Linked DNA regions of Drosophila melanogaster. The gene in region 1 interacts genetically with each later gene. Each region holds a gene or a part of one and is shown on either strand. Other genes may lie near its edges.

What was found.
Region 2: of Pu (region 1) and Dhpr, changing one enhances a phenotype caused by changing the other (phenotypic enhancement), as found in Drosophila melanogaster (one study listed by BioGRID).
Region 3: of Pu (region 1) and btl, changing one suppresses a phenotype caused by changing the other (phenotypic suppression), as found in Drosophila melanogaster (one study listed by BioGRID).
Region 4: of Pu (region 1) and awd, changing one enhances a phenotype caused by changing the other (phenotypic enhancement), as found in Drosophila melanogaster (one study listed by BioGRID).

The regions. Positions count from the first base shown.
Region 1 is NT_033778.4:21,177,525-21,183,122, reverse strand, and holds Pu (punch), read right to left. Parts: upstream 4,006-5,598; 5' UTR 3,831-4,005; coding exon 3,479-3,830; intron 3,186-3,478; coding exon 2,976-3,185; intron 1,840-2,975; exon of another isoform or gene 1,768-1,839; intron 1,704-1,767; coding exon 1,538-1,703; intron 1,479-1,537; coding exon 1,362-1,478; intron 1,288-1,361; coding exon 1,158-1,287; 3' UTR 515-1,157; downstream 1-514. Other genes in the region: CG4286 (uncharacterized protein), read left to right, coding at 4,586-4,927, 4,990-5,307. UniProt on the Drosophila melanogaster protein: Isoform B is required for eye pigment production, Isoform C may be required for normal embryonic development and segment pattern formation.
Region 2 is NT_037436.4:9,132,843-9,136,422, forward strand, and holds Dhpr (dihydropteridine reductase), read left to right. Parts: upstream 1-1,717; 5' UTR 1,718-1,964; coding exon 1,965-2,048; intron 2,049-2,144; coding exon 2,145-2,768; 3' UTR 2,769-3,015; coding exon of another isoform or gene 3,016-3,059; 3' UTR 3,060-3,074; downstream 3,075-3,580. Other genes in the region: Use1 (unconventional SNARE in the ER 1), read right to left, coding at 3,016-3,059, 3,459-3,580.
Region 3 is NT_037436.4:14,074,083-14,081,823, reverse strand, and holds the start of btl (breathless), read right to left. Parts: upstream 6,011-7,741; intron 5,949-6,010; coding exon of another isoform or gene 5,879-5,948; 5' UTR 5,776-5,878; exon of another isoform or gene 5,701-5,775; intron 4,760-5,700; exon of another isoform or gene 4,697-4,759; intron 2,370-4,696; 5' UTR 2,213-2,369; coding exon 1-2,212. Other genes in the region: Pex1 (peroxin 1), read right to left, coding at 5,879-5,948, 6,011-6,114, 6,365-6,988, 7,051-7,247, 7,306-7,741. UniProt on the Drosophila melanogaster protein: May be required for patterning of muscle precursor cells: generation of mesodermal and endodermal layers, invaginations of various types of cells, and CNS formation.
Region 4 is NT_033777.3:31,744,662-31,747,850, forward strand, and holds awd (abnormal wing discs), read right to left. Parts: upstream 1,417-3,189; 5' UTR 1,283-1,416; coding exon 1,109-1,282; intron 930-1,108; coding exon 597-929; 3' UTR 511-596; downstream 1-510. Other genes in the region: CG1896 (uncharacterized protein), read left to right, coding at 1-277, 340-460; nero, read right to left, coding at 1,906-2,814. UniProt on the Drosophila melanogaster protein: Major role in the synthesis of nucleoside triphosphates other than ATP. The ATP gamma phosphate is transferred to the NDP beta phosphate via a ping-pong mechanism, using a phosphorylated active-site intermediate.

The DNA.
Region 1 (5,598 bases):
TGTGAAATTGTTATCCAATAATTTTGGGTCCAAACGAAAGGTACACAGTAGGATTTGCAAGTAATAGATTATATATTTATCAAACTAAGAAGTTGAATAAAAAATATTTATATTTATTTCTTTGAATCATATTTTACACTGTTTTTTTTTTTTTTTTTTGATTCGTTATATACGAAATAAATTTAAAAAAAAATTATGCATCGGCCGGGAATCGAACCCGGGCCGCCCGCGTGGCAGGCGAGCATTCTACCACTGAACCACCGATGCTCTTGCTGCATTTCAAACAAAGCACTATGATGGATACTACACGACTGGAACCAACAACCTGTTGGTGTTGGGGGATTCCTGTCACTTAGTAGCCTCCATTTCAGTAGACTCCGTGGCGCAACGGTAGCGCGTCCGACTCCAGATCGGAAGGTTGCGTGTTCAAATCACGTCGGGGTCATTCGAGAAAGCTCCTGTTGTTTTTGGGATATTTCTTTTTTTATACATTTTATAAAAAATCCTTCATTTTAACGTTATTTAAATACATAATTTATTGTATAATTAATAAGCAGCTTTGACTCACTACAAGCAACGTCATTTACATAATGAGCATATAATTTTAACATTTAAAATCTTCCAATATACTTTGGTCCCTGTCGAGGAACATTATGAATGCAACTCTTTATATAGGTTAACATACATACATAACTATAGATCTGATTAATTTGATGTGAACTGTTTATAAATTGTAAATTCCCTAAACAATTTGCCGTGATTTATTATCAGTTGTTCCCTTATTGCACAATGCATTAATCGTATGTATACGTTGTAAAAATTATCGTTCAAGTGCCATAAAACTGCATATAAAATTGAACATAAAACTACCCAACACCGGTATTCAAATCTCGTCCTCTTCGAATCTCGCTTCTCATTACATTCATCTATCTAAAAAACGTATTTTGCTAACAAAATTTTTCAACAATTTTTACACAAATCAACAAGGAAAATGGCTGCGCAATCATTGCACTAACTAAATGAAATCAATCCTAAAAACATAAACTAATGGACCCTGTGTTTCGTTTCATTTTTGTTTGTTTGTATATAAGCGCCTCCAAAAATATTGTAGGGGTTTAGTTGGTCTCGGATTTCAGTAGCGTCCTCTAGTGCCCACTCTATTTGCTATTGACTAAGTTCAGGAATTCCTCACGGGTCTTGGGATCGTCTCGGAACACGCCCAGCATAGTTGAGGTAACAGTTTTGCTGTTGATCTTCTGCACGCCACGCATCACCATGCACATGTGGCTGTATAGGAGGAAAGCCATTCGTTAAACTATAATATTCTTTAAAATATATATGTATATATATTTAATACTTACACTCCCTCTACGACCACTGCTACTCCAGCGGGTTGCACGGCCTGAGTCACGGCCACTGCGATCTGCTTAGTTAAGCGCTCCTGGACTTGCAGGCGACGCGAAAATATTTCGACAATGCTATGGGATCGCAAATTATATGAAAGATCATCTAATATGCATTACTAAGTTTATCTTACCGTGCCAATTTACTGAGTCCGAGAATCTTGTTGCACGGCAAATAACCGATGGAAACTTTGCCGTAGAAGGGCACCAGATGATGCTCGCACATGGAGAACATTTCAATATCCTTGACCACCACCATTTCGTCATGATCCTCGTCGAAAACGGCGCCATTGAGAACATCTATTAAAAAAAATTTGAAATGGTGTAGTAAAAAAAAAGTACGAAAAAGGAATTCATCATCGCCTGACCCCGACGTGATTTGAACACGCAACCTTCCGATCTGGAGTCGGACGCGCTACCGTTGCGCCACGGAGTCGTTATTGAAAAGTTCGCCCAATGTCCCACAACCACGAAGCTACTCAAGTGGCGTTCCTTCGCTACCCGTGATTTATGGCGCGCGTAATTCGTGTTAGATTTATTTGCTGCATAACTGAATACTGAATGTTAAGTTCAAGCGACTGTGAGTGCTAAAGTGGTTGCTTAGCGAGTGTTTGTGTGTGTGTGTGCGTGTGTGAGGTTGCGGGTCTTGGGGGGAGGTTGACTTGACTTGACTTGACTGGATGGGCTTATGGTTCTTGTGGAGTGTGAGCTTTCGCCACACTCGTTTTAAACGATGTGCTCTTGAGATTCCCATTCCTTGAATAGAAGCCGCCGCCGCACCGCACACCCACCCACTTTACCGCTCTTAATATACAGACCGGAAAGCTTCAGTGCGTTTCCTGACCAACCAGCGAAGAAGCCAAGAAGTAGCCAAGTAGCCAGTGAGCCATCTAACAAACAATCCAACAAGCATCTTGTGTGTGTGGTGGGGAGGGGGGTGGAGTTCCCCCAACACCAGATTGGCAAGTCACGTTGGCTCGGCTTCTTGGGTTCTTTGAATTCGGGTTAAACACAATCCAACCCATTCTATTGCCGATGCCGAAGGCTATTCACTTTCGTTCAACGAATTTAGCTTTCAAATGGCCTGCTGCTGTTGCTGTTGATCTTAAATTTACATGCGATTTTATTTGACAAACCGTAGAACCTGATTTCTCGGGCAACCGGTTAGGTATGCTGGTGTAGCAACCATATAATTCGCAATTCTGTTTTGTTTCTCAAACGACTCACATTGATTACATGACAAGTTCAAAAGCGACTGCAAGTCGAAATGCACGCCAAACATGAGACCAAAAACTTTACTAGTCAAATCTCATATTTCATAGGATATTGAATGGATTTTGGATGCGTCCACTTGATTGGACAAGCCCGAAATTGCCTAATGGCTCCCTATGTTCATGTGCTTTATCTCTCGAGTGGTCAGGTAATTAGGCTAATGCACCATAGCGGACCGAGGAACCCCCGTAAATGGTGATTCACCGACATGAAACTAGTTCCCACTCGCTGGGAAAACCAGGATGAGCAACTTCGATCACTGACCCGGTGCTAATTGCTTGAAATGTGTGGTGTGCTTACCCTCGAGACTCTGGTCGTAGCCCTTGGTGAAGTACAGCATGGCCTTGGCTGCCCGCTCCGGCGTCTTGATCAGTCCCTGGCGATCGGGATTCTCGCCCAGGCCGCCCAAGAGTAGACGATACGAGCGTGCCATGTCCGGAAGGAGGGCCTCTCGCGTCGGCGGCTTGTGGTCCAGCTCCAGGTCGTGGTGGAACGTGCACTTCTCGTGGCCTGTAAATGGAAATACGGATGGAAACATGATGAGAATCGTTATCATGCGAGATAGGAAGGCATTGCCCCCCTTCGTTGGCTGTGTGTGGCTGTCTAAGTACTATTCCCCATTCCGAGGCGCATCTTCTGACCTCTGAACCGAAACACTAACCCACTGATAGGCGTACGGTTTATGCTCAAAAAGAGTTTGTCAAGCACTCCTCCTCCTCCTAGTTCATTGACTAACTAAATCGGTCGCAGCAAACATAGCTCTGGATCCCCTGACCTGGTCCTGGACCACTACCCACCACTACCTGGCGTTGTCGATGTACGCGGTGTCAGTGGTGTTTTCGGTTGTGTACCATCACTATCCGGACTGCTGCCGTTGGTCTTCAGGATGAGGCGGGGTCTCTGGTTGCCGGCCAACGGGACGAGAGCAGGAGCTGGCGCCACCTCCTCGACGGGTGTGCCCGCAATGGCAGTGGCCTCCTCCGCCTGGTTCTGCTGCCTGTCCGCCAGCGAGGAGGTGCCCGAGGTGCTACTTGTTGAGCAGACGCTGTTGTTGCGTCCGCGCGAAAGGATGTGGGCCTGCGGGAAGTTGGTGTCGTCGATGGCATCGTTCAGCTCGCTGGCACTCATCTCGGACAGTTGGCGGGTAAAGCTCATGGCGGTGCGGCTACTCAGGTTTGTTTGCCACTCGAATGGAACTCAATTTGACGGCTAGCACACAATCTTTTTTCCTCGATGATTTTCTCACTGCTATCTGTCTCTTTTTGCGCTGCTGTCTGCCGGACTTTGTCTTCGCGTGTTGGCGCTTCGGGTGGCTCTGCTCTTCTGGTGGCTGCTGTGGCCAGCGGTGGCAATAAGAACCTCTCGAGCGGAGCTTTGAGCGGCGGAAAGCTCCAATCAATAGCCAACAGACCATCCAACGGGCAAGCTCTGCTCCGAGTTTCGCTTGCCGGAGATTAAGTGAGCGGAACTAAACCGAGCTGAGCGCAGGCCCACGGTTTGGCATCCAGTGGCTGTAAAACCGCGCACGAACTTGTTGCTCGGCCAGGAGGCGATAGAACTACAGCACTAGCCACGAAAATAGTGCCATCAAATGTTAAAAACTAGCTTTGGGTGGTAGGTCAATTTACTTGTTAGGAAAGTAAAGCTACCTTATTGGGATAAGTGTAGCGTTTACCCTTAATATATATTATTAAATAGAGTGTACCAAGCTTTTGCCCTCAAACGTGCACTTTATCCTTGGCGCCAACTTAATCTCAACTATTGTTTGCATATCCTTGAAACCCACTCAACTTGGGGCCAGACGTCAAGTTGTAGTTCATTTAAACATTCCACTCGAAACGAGCTACTCCCCCAAATTCGAACCCCCTTCCAACCATCCGCCCCTCCATTCATCTTGGAGAACCAAAGTCATGGCGCACCGCCTCCAGCTCCGTAGCGATGACTTCGACGTTATCGGCGCCGTGCCCCGCAATCTGTCCGTGATCAAGAACTTCCTGAAGCGGGACTGTGCCATCAAGAAACTGATCGACATCGAGGAAGAGTTCCTGCAGGAATGCGTATTGCGCGGCCAGGATCCCATGAATCCGAAGGGTAAACGTGACAGTGACAGTGGGCCACATGGTAGTGGTTTGGGATCCAATGTGCCCGAACCCAAGCCGGATCCATGTGCTACCAAGACACCGGAGAACACATTGGCCTCCGACTACTGTGATCCCTGTCGCCGACTCAAGACCTCCGTGGTTCTCGAAGAGGTGAGTGATCTGTACATTCAATGTGCTTCAGTGATTTAGATGTTACTCCACTCATCTATCAGCTAACCAAGCCGGCCATCACAAATCCGGCTTTCAACAAATCCCTGCCGCCGTACTTCGATGAAGAGAGCGTGATGGGCAACTCGTTGCCCGTGAAGTTCCGTTTCCGGCGCAAGTTCAACAAGTGCGACCAGGAGAAGGCCGGCAACCTGATGTGCACCAACACGCCGAGCACCAATGTGGTCGTGTTGACCAACTGTTGCGACGTGATGGTCTGGCCCAGTCAACGGGTGGCCCAGATGAACCGGGTGCCGGTGACCATGCTGTCGGGCGAAGCCGATCTCACGGAGTACATGCTGGAGGAGGAGACCATTATGTGAGGGAATGGTTGGATGGGTGCAGCTTTTTGGCACATAACGCCGATCAATAAAGCATTAACCCCACTTAGAAGTGTCCTCATTTTGTGCGGGAAACCCTGCATCCCACATGTGGGGCTTCAATTGAAAGTAGCTAGTCTCTCCAGCTGGCCAAATTTGATTATTCTCTGCATATATTCGGAATCTTATTTGCATGCAAAGTATTCGTGGTTTATCGCGAGCACTTTTCTTGTTTATGGCATGGAGTTGAAGGTTATTCTTTATATATGTATATACATATATATGTCCTGAGAA
Region 2 (3,580 bases), on another chromosome or scaffold:
CTACATGATTGTCCTTGCCCTTTAGATACTCTACTGTAAAATTATATTCCTCTAGTTCAAGCCTTATTCTAGTTAATTTAGAGCTGGGGTTCACCATCGAGAATAAATATGTCAATGGTCTATGGTCTGTTTTCACAGTGAAATGTTTTCCGTAAATGTATGGTCTGAAATGTATTATTGCCCAATGAATTGCTGCTAACTCTTGTTCTGTTGTACTCTTATTGCTTTCACCTTTCGTAAAAGCTCTGGATGCATAAGCAACTGGGAGTTGGTGGCCATTATGGTTTTGAGTTAAAACTGCGCCACACGCTTGCTTGCTTGCATCTGTTGTTATGCAAAATTCTTTGCTGAAGTCTGGGTACTGCAAGAGTGTTGGGTTAATTAGCTGAGATTTTAAATGTATGAATGCTTTTTGACATTCATCTGTCCACTCGAATGGAACATTCTTTTTACATAATCTTGTTATGTGCCGCGAATAGTCGGCGAAATTTTTGATAAAACGTCTGTAGTAATTGCAAAATGCTACAAAACGTCTAGCGCTGTCCGCATCATGTGGAACTGGGTAGTTCTGAATGACATCATATTTTTTGTCATCCGGCAAAATTCCTTTGTCTGTGCATTTGTGTCCCAAAAATGTGACTTCATGCATGAAAAATGAACATTTTTCAGGATGTAACTTTAGGTTGTATTCCCTGCATTTACCAAAAACTTCAGTGAGGTTTTTAAGCATATGTTTTTCGGAACAACCTATGACTATTAAGTCATCCATATAAAGGAATGCTTGAGACGGTTCTATTCCGGAGAATGCTATAGTCATCATTCTTTGGAATGAATTAGGCGCTATTTTTAAGCCAAATGGCAATCGCGTGAAACGATATGAGCCATTGCTGGTTGAGAAAGATGTTATATCTCTCGAGCCTTCATCCAGTTCGATTTGATGAAAACCTGACATTAAATCAAGGCAGGAGAAATATTTTGCTCGACCAAGTTGGTCCAAAATATCATCTATTCTCGGTAGTGGAAATTTGTCAGCTAAAAGTTTCTTATTAATTTGGCGATAGTCTATTACTAATCTCCATTTCTTTTTATCAGAATTCGGGCTTGACTTTTTGGGTACTAATAGCAAAGGGCTATTGTACTGTGAAACTGATGGTTCAACTATTTTATCTTTTATTAATTTCTGAACTTGGGCTTGTATTTCTTCCACTTGACTATGAGGACTTCTATAATTTTTCGTGTATACTGGCTCATCATCTTTTAATCTCAACTGTTGTTTATACAAATTATTAACTGTTATAGGTTCTGATTCTAATGCAAATATATCTATATATTCGCTGCATATATTTTCTAATTGTGATTTAAACAATTCGGGGAAATTTTTCTTTAATTGAGATAAGACAGTTTTATTTCTGTGTTCACTATTTGCCTGAACTACATTGTAGTTCGAAAGTGGCTCATATTTTAGAGTGTCCATGACGTAACGCGACGACGACTGGTGGGACTGAGTGGAAAACACAGCTACGGCGCGTAACTCTGGTCTGGTGGAAATGCGGCGCACGAATTTCACGCATTTCCCTTTTCAAAAAAGAGCAGCGAGCAATGCGTGAGCGAGACGGGTAAAGTTGGCGGCGAACAGCTGTGGAATACCAAAAAAAAAAAATACCAAATAACGCCTTACTCACGACAGTGTGACCTTGCTGTGCGTTTTCTGGTCATCTTATTGATTTTCCACTTGTTGCTGCTGCTGTATCTTTTTGTAGCGAATAAAAAGCTATATCTGCACGCTGAAGCTTAAACTCGACTTGAAATTCATTCTCCCGATTATTACCGGTAGAACTGGTCTTGCGGTTAAAAACCCCAGCTGCGTTCAAAGCTCCCGCACGATTTTGACTCACCAAAATCGGTGTTCTCGTGTTTTTCTCGCATTTAGTTAAATTGCAACTTTAAAACTGGCAGCACGCATCATGTCCGCAGGTCGAGTGGTTATTTACGGTGGCAAAGGAGCCTTGGGTTCGGCCTGTGTCGATCACTTTAAAGCCAACAATTATGTGAGTTACCTTTCACTTAATTATTAAATACAATTGCCTCATTATCTATTGTTTTCCCTCGCGTCAACTACGACCTTCACCTGGATAATCCATCAGTGGGTTGGCAGCATCGATCTGACGGAGAACGAGAAGGCCGACGTTAGCATTGTGGTGCCACGCGATGCTAGTTGGGTGGAACAGGAGGAAACGGTGGTGTCCAAAGTCGGGGAATCCCTTGCCGGCGAGAAACTGGATGCCGTCATCTGCGTGGCTGGCGGCTGGGCAGGTGGTAATGCCAAGAAGGATCTGGCCAAGAATGCCGATCTCATGTGGAAGCAGAGCGTGTTGACCTCCGCCATTTCGGCAGCTGTGGCTGCTCAGCATCTAAAGGCCGGAGGCTTGCTGGCTCTCACTGGAGCTAAGCCCGCTTTGGAGGGCACACCCGGTATGATCGGCTATGGAATGGCCAAGGCAGCTGTCCACCAGCTGACCCGCTCGCTGGGCGCTGAGAAATCCGGTCTGCCAGCTGGTTCCCTGGCTGTGTCCATACTTCCCGTAACTCTAGATACACCCATGAACCGTAAATGGATGCCGGATGCAGATTTTGGAACCTGGACACCGCTCACCGAGGTGGCCGGACTTTTCCTTAAGTGGACCCAAGATCAGGAGAGGCCCAAAACTGGATCCCTGTTGCAGCTGATCACCACAAACGGCATTACGCAGCTTATCGCTGCCGAATAGGCTAAGAGATACAGATACGAATCCAAATGACACTTAATGATGAAACAAAAATGCTCAAAAACCATAATCTAAACGCTTTCGCTTGTACATAAACTATTCATAAATAAATCGCTGGGCGGCTTTCGATCGTTTAATGTGGTTCTGCTTACACGATTTGGGTGGATAACCTCTTGAACTCGGGAGCTTAACGAGCGTTTAAAGCTTGCTTAGAGTACAATCTTTAGTTTGCTTAGTTTGGAAATTGTTTCTACGACTTCTTCTTCTTCATAATCTTCATGAATAAAACCATACCTGTAAATTGAAAGGGTAATAAACTCATTAGTATAATTAAGCAGCAACAATCGAACTGCAATAAATCGAACCAATTAAGAAATGTAATTTCAAACTGAGTCACGGCAAACTTGTTTATTTGGCTTAAGTGAAGTGACTCGCAGTGTTTTCGTATTCAGTTTAAATACAATAATAATAGCAATGGAATCTAATATCTATTTATCTGTTTTCGTTCTTATAATGAATATTTATAATATTGTGATTAACATATTCAGGAAACTTGGTTTATAAACGTGTTTAAATGTGTGTTGTTGAGTTGGATAACTTAAGGTATATTTGTTAAGTAAATGAATTGGGATTTTCCAAGAGGGGTTCTTTTTTGCAGCTTGAACAAAACTTCCACAAAATACAATGACTCACCTATAAAAGTGGCAATTACGAAGGCAATCATCAGCCACAGCCAGCACTTGTAGGCTTTTTTCGAATGTTGCTCCAGTTTCTCAGCCTCTTTTCCTAGCGAATTGATATTGCGATCCGCCATT
Region 3 (7,741 bases), on another chromosome or scaffold:
GACTCCTGGGAAGCCCCTCCGCCTCCGCCATCACTACGCGTCCAAAGGCGCCCTCACCCAAAATGGAGCCCAAGCTAAGCTGCTGCCTGGGAATCTCCCAGTTTGAGTCCAGCGGGAACTCATACTCATTAAAGCCCTGGGCGGGATCAGTACCGCCAGTTCCCGTTGTGGAAACGGTTGTTCTCTGCTTCTCGATCCTTATCACTGGCATCTGAAGATCGCCGGAGCTGCAGCCACTTCCTTCTTCTCCACCCGGTCGGTATATGATCACCTTTTTAGTCCACTGATGAACCGTTTCGATGCGGAGCTTCAGGAGCTTCTCCCTCCTCAGCCGACGCAGCATGAACGTTATGAAAGCACTGCCCAAAAGGAACAAAGCCACTATCGTAATAGCGGCCAAGGTGAATCCGAGAGGATGGGCGTGCAGCAGGGCGTAGATCTCCAAAGGTGGCAGAGGACTCACTACCCTAAGGTACACACTGGAGTTACTCCTTCCCAGACCACTTGAGGCCAAACAGGTGTACCAGCCCTCCTGGTCAAAGGTCACATTACGAAGCGTTAAAACTACGGAGTCATTCGTCACGGTGAAGTTGAGATTCTGGATTTCCACAGACTTAAGGCCGTCCAAGGAGGCATTCTTGAGGACAACCCTTTTCCAGCTGACTGTTGGATGCAGATCAGAGTAGACGGTGCACTTCATCACCAAGCTGCCATTGACTTTCACCGTCTGATTTTGCGGCACCACGATTATTGGTGCGGATCTCGTGCGATCGTTTATTTGGACACTGAAGTCAAACTGGATGCAGCCCCACGCATTGCACACCTTACAGTTGTATAGTCCAGAATCCTCGCTGGTGGCCTCCACGAAGCGGAGTGTCCAGTTCTTTTGCACATAGACGCCGAGTTCACGGTTTAGCGGCTTCTTGTCCTTCGTCCAGGTGATGTTCGCTTTGCCGTACACTGGACAGGCTAGATTGACAGTATTTCCCGATAATGAGTGCTGTAATCGTTTCAGCTCTTTTCTGAACACAGGTGGACCAACGCCGCCTGATGCTTCCGCTGCTGGATTTTCCACGTCGTCATCGTTGTCCTCTCCGGTGGATGCAGTGGGTATTGGGCTGGCCACGGTGGTAGTAGTGGTCGTGCGAACTGTGGTAGTATCTGAGGGACTGTAAAGATCCACATAGGAGGCGGCCACAGTGCGTCCAACCTGGTTCTCGGCTATGCATATGTACCATCCGCCATCCTCCATCAGGACATTTCCAAGACGAAGTACCTGCGGTTCATCCATTCGGGTAATCAATCGGGTAACATCCACAGGTAGCTGGGACTGCTCTCTTAAACGCTGCAAGAGGTCATCGATGTTGTCCGCATTCCCCTTATGTAGCCACGTGATCTTCGGCTCCAGGGCAGAGTCCTCAAGTAGGCATTCAATGCTCACATTGTCCCCGAGGGCAATGCTGGTATTGCGGGGATATCCGGGCTTTAGCATGGGCACCGTGTGCTTTCTGCTTATCACCTCCAATTGGGTCGGATTACTCCTTTGGCAGTCCTGTTCCACGCACAGCTCACAGTGATAGCTTCCAGCATCCTCCGGCTGCAGTTGCCCCACTGTTAATGACCACCTTTTAAGCTTAATGCGTCCACGTCCACCAAGGATTTGAGTATCATTGTGCAGCCAGGATATATTAACACCCTTTGCATCCGGATCCATGGGACTGCAGTTCAACTGAAAAAGGCCACCTGCGGTCCGTTGTACGGTTTTGGGTAGGGGTTGCAGCAACTTCAGGGATCGACTCTCATTCAGGGGCTGAAAAAAGAGATCTGACTCCGGGAGGGCCGGTGCATCTTCCAACTTGACAAAGCTGGCGATATCATTGCCAACTGGTTCCTTATGGCCAACAACAAGGGAAATATTGTACCATCTGTTCTGACTATCCAGGCAGCCGTAGTTTCCAGAATTTCCGGACTGTGCTCGTTCAAGTCGCAAAAGGGTAGCCCTCAGTTGAAACTTATCCTCATAGAACCATTTGGCCATGGGTCGGACGCACTGCAGCGTGATGTCCATGTCGGAGAGCAGATGGCGCTGGCGGGGACTGTTTTCCACAGTCACATCGATGTAGCAACGATGATGGCCATAATCGCATCCCAGGTCCGCAGCGGCAGAGACGATCGCAATGATCATCACCAGCGTGATCGGCACTTTTGCCATGATTCAAGTGGATTCTCTTGAGTTCAACAGCCACCAAGATCTCGTATCTGGATGGGCACGATCGTGTACATATGGGTTACAGTTGCGGTCGAAATAATATCACTTCCTGTGGGTATCTTCATTCGAGTTCCTCGATTTCAAATCGAGCGTTCTCCAGCTAAAGGAAAGGATTAAATATATGAATTACATGGCATTGATTGATATATTATACTTTAAAAATAACACTTTGGAATTTTGTTTAATTTAACTAAATTTAAGAAGTTATGAATGCAAATATTATTAGCTATTCGTTACTTGAATACCACTATTGTGCCACTATTCTTTTGACCGCAGCTGTATAAGTGGATCAATAAATATTGCCAAATCTCCGCTTCACTTTTTGCCCCTCCCTTAGTTCCCGATCTGTGTCATTTTATTTATTTATTATTATTGTTTAATATTTTATTGCCAACACGGCACACAGCCAAGTCAAGTCTGTCCGCACCGATATGCAAAAATCCAAAGGAGAAGCAACTGAAACAAACGAAAACTGTGTGCCCTGCCTTCGTAATGAGCTGGAAGACGTGGTCGAAGCCACCGAATTGCCGGACACACTCGTCGCCACCCACTACCGAAGGGGATCTCCATTATAACTTGTCTATATTCGACGTTCGCCAAATGCTTTTGTTGCTGCGGCCTGCGCTCCTCGATTTCCATTCAACTAAATGCCGAACAGTTAGAAAATCACTTAGCTATTTGTTGAAATCAGTTGTTACAGTGGTGTCACACTTTTCAGTTATTCCCCAAGTACTATACTTGCACTTACAAAACAAACAGACAAGGTGCTAGAGAATTGCAACAACAAATCGAGAAATACCTAAATGATTTGCCACAATCTGAAATAGCAACTAATTAACATTCAAATTCTCTGTGCAATATGAGCTCAGCATTTTAATCAATTAAAAGGTATATTTATAATAAAGTTATGCTTTAAACACTGAATAACACTGCTCGAAAATCCTAATAGCAGATAATTATTTCAAAATTAATTTTTAGTATAATCACGTAAAGGGTATAGGACAGTGGGTATTCCATCTACTTGGGTTCGTCAAATGTTTGCCAAATAAAAATAAACAATTTTTAGTTCAATGATTAATGATGATAGGGTAAATTCCCAAACTTGTTGTCTGCGAATGTAAGCTTTGTACAAAATGTAAAGTTTTAAACGAAGTTTAGAAAATATTGATAATAATGGGGGCATAGCATAGTTCGACTATTTTTTCTATCAGAAAATTAAAATATTTTTAACTTTTATAAAATCGTTTTGACCACTGTGCTGTTTAATGAAAAGTATTTTATTGTTTGTAAGGCTTGGGACAACCGTTGCGATTGTCATTGTTGTTGTTAATATGGTGCTAGTGCTGCCAGTAATTGTTGTTGTTGTTTTAGCCGATATTGCCGCTAGCCGCTAGCCGTTTGACTTCAGGCCCGATTTATGTATGTATGCACACGCGTCGCAGGTTTTAATTTATTCAATTCCTTTTTTTCTCATTTGTTGCCAAATACGAGTCGATCGCTGTATTTGAAGTATGTATTATTGCTATTTTTATTTAATTTTTTTCTCAGTTTGTCATTCATTCAATATTATTCGATTCGATTTTAAGCCACAAGCGCACATGGCCAAAACCGTTTAGCTCACACCTTTTTATCTTGTGAATTATTATCGAGCGTATAAATCTAATGCATGAACGATTTGATATTTCAACTTGGTCAATCAGCTATATCGAGAATAGAATAAGTTCTTTATTTGGAACCCTGGGTATTAACTCCCCATTCAGTTTTCTTTCTGCAAACATTGACTTAATGTAAAAGGAATGTTTGGATCAAGACATAAATTATTCATTCATACAATTGACATCACTTTAATTTTATTTTCTTATTTATTTCATTGGTGTTTATTTAATTATGTATGAATCAGTTTTATCACGTTTCTTTGTCTCAATTAAAATTTTATTTTTAACATTTGGTTACTTTGCAGACTTTTTGTTTTTATTTATCTGTGGTTTATGATCTTTTGGCTGCACTTGGAAAGATTTGTATTTATTTTACTGCTGGAACAATTCACTCTTAAATTATTTTTTGCTTTATTTTGGTTTCACTGCTGCTTGTCAGTTCGCAGTGGGAACACAATTCTTTTCTGCCATGCCACAACCCCAAATCTTTGACCAAAAAAATCACGTTCTTTGTCTTTTATTTTCGAGGAGCCGGAGAAGGCAAATAAGATTGCAAAAAACATTGTCACTATGTTTATTCGGCTGTCAATCGCGGTTGGGGCTTGTATAAAAATCTTAAGACTCGGCAAGAGGGCAGCGGAAGGCGCCTTGCATTTCCGCTTCGTTGCCAACTTTTATTTCCCTTTACCAGGCATAAATGAAAAGAAATATGTGATGGGTAGCTGGTGTTGGGCGGGGGGGGGGGGGGGGGGTTCACTTCCGTTGCACTAACCGTAATCCGTAAAGTTTGTGGAAGGAGCCAACCGATTGGCTTGAATGTGCGCAAACAACTGAAAGTAACGATCGAAACGGAAGAAACTTTTACGCGGTACGATACGAACGATCCGAACGTGCCGATCGAACCGAACCGATCCAATACGATCCAATACGATACGAAACGAGTGGATATCTGTGGTTCCCTGCGATAATGTTTGCTAGGATCCTGGGCACAGGGTCTTCGGATGGGATGGTATGGGTTCGGACGGCTACCTGATCGAGGTGGTCTCCCTCCCGCATGTTGCAATTGTTTTCGCTGGTAGTTTTCCTGAGCGGTTTCCTTTCTTTTTATTGCTGGTTTGCTGCTGCTGCTTCTGCTAGGTTCTTGTTGGTTTTATTCTAAGCATGTTTGCGGTGGCTTCGACTCGTTGAAATTCTTTATTATCTGGCCTTCGGGTTCCCTCCCTGTTTGTTTGCTTGGCGGCTTAATTTATGCAAAAGAAAATGTGTCCATTGTCTTAGTGGTGTGCAGTACGTGCGCATGCGCGGTAATCGCATATCAATAAGGAAATATCCGTTACGTGACTGATATCCAAAAATCTCAGTTGCTGCATGTGGCATGGCAGCAGCTAGCTCCCGCATAGGCCAAAATCCAGATCCAGATGCCGGGCACGTAATCTACCCAAAAATAGTTAAATGCATTTTTGATGCACTTGTTAGGGGCTATGGGAACAAATGCGAAACAGTTGGGAAATACGAAAAGGAGGGACATACTATCCAAACTAGCTATCAAAAACTTGTTATAGCTAAACACAATTTCCGGTGAATTAATAACCAAACTCACCTGATGTCTTCATTTGTTAAGGAGCCACCCCTTAACAGCACTCATGTTTACCGAGGTCAGAATGCGAAAAGATATTAGTTCTTAAATTTGAACATCTCTTTCTCTTTTTTATACATGTATGTACATTATAATTAAAATATAATATTCTTTCAATTTAACACTCCGGAGTGGTATATGGATTTATACGAAGTAATCATAAAAGAAATTTGGTTTTTATTTTTCAACAAGAAAAATTATGAAATATGTACTACCTAAGACTTGCGTCTTCCAACAAAATGTTCCATTTTCCAGATGTACAAATATGCAAAAAACAATTTAAAATAATAATAATGCTAAGCTTATAAGTCTTTGTCTTTAAGCCAAGGTCGCACGCTTGGCTACAAACTCCCTAGAAGTCTTCTCCTTGTTGGTAAAGCGAGCATACCTACCAAGAGATAATTAAAAAGGTAAGAAGAACAGAAGAACAAAGAAGACATTGTTACGTACGTTCTGTGATATTTGGCCACATCGGAGGCGCTGAGCGAAGGACGAGTGGTTTGGAACGACTCAATCAGGTGCTTCTGCTTCAAGGAAATTTTCTTTGCCAGTTTCTGGGAAAGCAATAAGAAACAAATGGTATTTTATACTGTGGCCAGAGACTAAGAACTACGTGACTAATCATTGTTGCAGGAAGTAGCATAGATTTCACTTTTGATTTAAAAGACAAACACGTAAAGGAGTTTTTACATAGAAGTTACATTTGAAATCAGGATGAGAAACAATAAAACATGAAAGAAACGGTTGAAAGCTTGCATGACCCATAAAGCAGATTGTTTCCGGTGAAAATAATTCCCAGCTCACCTCGTGTCCGAATTGAGCTAGCGCCTCCTTAACCGCCGCCATGTTCGCCGAGGTCAGGATGCTCTGGATATCGGCGCCAGTGTAGTTTGCAGTTTTTCCCGCAAACCAATCGAAGTCCACGCACTCATCAAGGCTCAGTGTTGAACTGAGTGCTTCAAATATACGTACTCTGGCCGGAGCATCCGGCAAAGGACACTCCACCAAGCGATCAATGCGACCGGATCGAAGAAGCGCGGGATCTAGCAGTTCCGGTCTGGAGGTAGCTGCTATCACGGTAACTCCCTGCAGTCCTTCAACGCCATCCAGTTCTGTGAGCAACTGATTTACCACTCGATCGGTGACCCCCGTGGAATCGTGACCACGTTTCGGCGCCAAGCTGTCAAACTCGTCGAAGAAAAGCACACATGGTCGGGCACTGCGAGCTCGATTGAACAGGTTTCGAACATTTTCCTCGCTTTGACCAATATATTTGGCGAGCAACTCAGGACCCTTGACGGAAATGATGCGCAGGTTCCACGATGTGGCCAACTGAGAGACCAGATAGGTTTTACCTGTTCCTGGTGGCCCATATAGAAGTACTCCGGCCTGGTTGCGCAGTGGAGAGGCGTTAAAAATGGTTGGATACTGTAAGAAATTAATGATTTATTAAATTTTAGAAAAAAACATATATTTCGTTTAAAACTCACCCTTGATGGCCACATAAGGACCTCCTCCAGAACTCCCACAACTGACTCCAGGCCAGGCAACTCCTCGACGCGCATTTCATTGGCATCGGCATCATTGCCAGTTCTTTGATTGCTCTGAATGCCCTGCAGGCAGTACGAGTTTGTGTGCTCCAGGGACTCAATAAGCTGATCATTGGTCAGAAGAGGCTGGGTCTTGCCTGGAAAAAAGGGAATTTAACATGATAAAGTTGCTTACTAACACTACAAACTACTCACTTATGCGATAAGCATAAAATATTGCACGCTCCACGAACTGAACAAGATCACATTTCCGGTAGCCCTCCGTGAGGTTGGAGAACTTAACAAGATCCAGGTCCTTGGCCACATTGATATGGCTGCACAGCTCTCGAAGAATTATCTCTCGATCTGCTCGTTCCAAATTGGGCAGACGAGCAACAGTCTGGAAGACATGTCTTCCCCTTGGTGAGCTCAATCGCTTATTGAGGGTCTGCAACTCGTTGACGGTGGCGATTACTGCAATAGCGTTGTTGGTGGTATACTGAACAATCAACTGATACACAGTATCCGCCATGCGATTGTAGTACTCTCCATCCTGACTGGACTGCTCTCCAGCAGCGTGGGCCAGTACATCCAAGTTTTCTAGCACAACAATGGCGGGGGCATGCTGCAGGCAGCTGGTAAAAATGTTGCG
Region 4 (3,189 bases), on another chromosome or scaffold:
ACATATCCCTGCGAAAACAACGCGATGCTGCCTCCATTTTGGAGACCTTTGATCTTCTGGAGAAACTTTGCGAGTCTCGTGGAGGAGACAGAGCCGCCCTTTGCCAAAAACTGACCCACATGCGTCTTGTTTGGCGCAGAGTCCAAGAAGAGACTCAAGCTGGCCATGTCAAGGAGTCCAAGAAGGTGGCTTCACTTGAATCTCAATGGAAGGCTGTGTTCTTCGGCCGATCCTTGCCAACTCCCAAATTAAATAAGGGGAAATTTCTTGAAATTCGGTATGTCTAGGGAAATGCATTGTCCGGCGGGAGCTCCCTTTTAATTGCATCGCTTTTTCCAGCTCCACATGGGATTCTTACATAAGCTACTGTGGAAGAGGCTCCTCTATACCCAGAGGATGGGTGCTACCGCCAACAAAGCCTACAGCTCAGTGGATAGGCTATCGACTATCCTTAACTTAATATCATAGAAACCTTTCCAAAGCTCACACTCCTTATAAAGAAGCAAGATTATATAGTAATTATTGTGGAATTTTATTTCTTTAGAAGAATCAATCTGTATTCAGCTTAGACGAGGGCAGACAGTTAAAGTAGCCGTCTATTCGTAGATCCAGTCCTTGGCGGCCGGGGTCCAGGTGACCAGCTCCTTTTCGTTGAACCACAGGGCGATCTCCTTCTCGGCAGACTCGACGGCATCGGAGCCGTGGATGATGTTGCGTCCGACCTGAATGCAGAAGTCACCGCGGATGGTGCCGGGCAGCGAGTCGGCGGGGTTGGTGGCGCCGAGCATCTGGCGACCGGTCTTGACCACATTCAGACCCTCCCACACCATGGGCACCACGGGGCCGGAGTTCATGTAGTTCACGAGTCCGGGGAAGAAGGGGCGGGCGGACAGATCAGCGTAGTGCTTCTCCAGCAGCTCCTTGGAGGCCTGGTTACAAAACGGTTCGTTATCAGTTAATTGCAGTTCTGACCTCTAAACACATGTCATTCCGCGATGACGCCTGCACCCAGCCTTTGAGGTTAGGTCCGATGGCAACCCCGCGTGGGGCAACCCGTTTCCACGTATTTATATCTATTGATTTCTTCCTAATTCAATTATCCGCTTACCCAGGTGAACTTCAGGGCGACCAGCTTGAAGCCCTTCTGCTCGAAGCGCTCGATGATCTTGCCGACGAGCCCGCGCTGGACGCCATCGGGCTTGACCATGATGAAAGTCCTCTCCTTGTTAGCCGCCATTGTCGCCGAGATTACAGAAAAGAATGCCAAAATTGTGCCGAGCATCAGGAGCTTCATGTGTTCGCCGTTGCAAAAAAATCCCGAATACGAAATGCCGGCAAGGTGAATTGTGGGAAATCGTCAAGTGGTCACACTGGGCAGCCAGCCGCGTTCTTGAGTTTTTGTTTTTGTTGGGCGATTTAAAGGATAGGAAAATACTTGTTATTTAAATTCCAAAGCGGAAATTTGAGTGCATTGCTAAAGTATTCATATTTTTTTCAGTTTATAACCGCTCAAATGGGGCTGCCATGTCGCCTTGTACTTTGAATTTCAGAATGTATTCTGAATGCATTTCATCGAATAATTTAAAGCAAAAATAACGAAAACTCAATAGTATTATTTTTAATTACTAGACACATTAAAACATTTAAAAAAAAACAAAGAGTTGCCCACAGTTGATGATAAAATGCCCGTCAAACTAGGATAGTTACTAGGCACTCATTAGCATCAGCATTCCCACCAGTTGATTCATCCATCCAGCAGGTTAATCAAAAACCACAGGGAAGTCACGTTCAAATTTCTTTTTATGTCTCGATAAGATTAGGTCCATGTGATCACAGAAGTGACAAAACAATACAAGTTTACGACTAATATATACACAGCTGGTAGATGCAAATGTTCGGCGAAAATCACTTGGTCGCGTCTAGTTTGGCTAGGCCGTCGGCATATTGGAACTCCGGACTGTTCTCGTACTCGCACATGTCCAGGGCGATGACGCAGCTCTCCTTGACCACGCGCTTGTCGTCCTCGGCGTAGCGGTTCAAGATCTGAATGCAGTCCTCTGTGGCGATGGCGCCAAGGGCCTCGGCACACTCGTGACGCACCATTTCGTTTTCCAGGCGATCCTCCAGATTCTCTTGAAGGAAGGGAATGCTGCAGGGTTCTTGCAGCTGGCCCAGTACGAAGGCCACCTCGTGGCGGAAGAGGGCGGAAGAGTCCTTAAGTCCCTCGGCAATGGCCAAGACACTCTCTTCGGTGCGCAGATTGCGCAGGCTGAACATGGCCCTATATCGATCGAACAGGCTCTGCTGGGCATCCAGATAGATGGCCTTCAGCTCGGTGACGCTCTTGTCGCCCGCAGTTGGCGGTGAGGGATCAACGGAGGCGTAAGGGTTGCTGTCATCTACCTTTTGGCCACTCTGCAGCCAGCGGACGCGGTCCAGAGCAATGGCACATGTTTCGGCCACCTCCACTACCGGATCTTGTTTGTACTCCTCCAGAATTGGCAGCACATCTGGATGACCAATGGCGCCCATGGCCTCCGCAGCCTCGTGGCGCACCATCGGCTCCTGGGTGGTGTCCTTTAGCACCTTGGTGAGGATGTCTAACGCCTGTGCGTCCTGCATCTGACCCAAGCAGTAGGCCAGCTCATGTTTGAGAAGGGCCGAATCATCGTCAAAGGCTTTGCTGATCGCCTCGATGGCCGCTCCTCCGCCGATGTTCTTCAGCGTGAAGAGGGCTCGAAAGCGCTCTTTCAGTGGGCGTTCCTTGTTGTTCAGAACGCCTCCAATGGCCTCGATTTGCTGCTGCGAAACCATTTGTATGCGGTGTGGACTTATAAATAAAAAACTGCAACGGGCCGCGTGTGGTGTCGCAATGTGGCCATACACTCAGTACTTGGTAATACCAAAACTACAAGTAATCGATATGACGTGGCTATCGATGGACTATGAGTCGATGAAACGGCGCTGCCAACGCGTTTAGAGTACAAATTGTGCAGCACTAGCAAGAAGCAGTTTAGTTACGTTTACTCCGTAGAAGCGCGATACAAAAAAGTCAATAAAAGGGTGAAAAGCGAACGTTCTAGACACAGAAAGTATTCAAAAATACTGACTCAGTCCTGGCGCAGCATCGGTGACCAAAAGAGCGGCTCTTCACGGTGAAAAGTTTCCGCAAAATCGGCATTTCTGAAA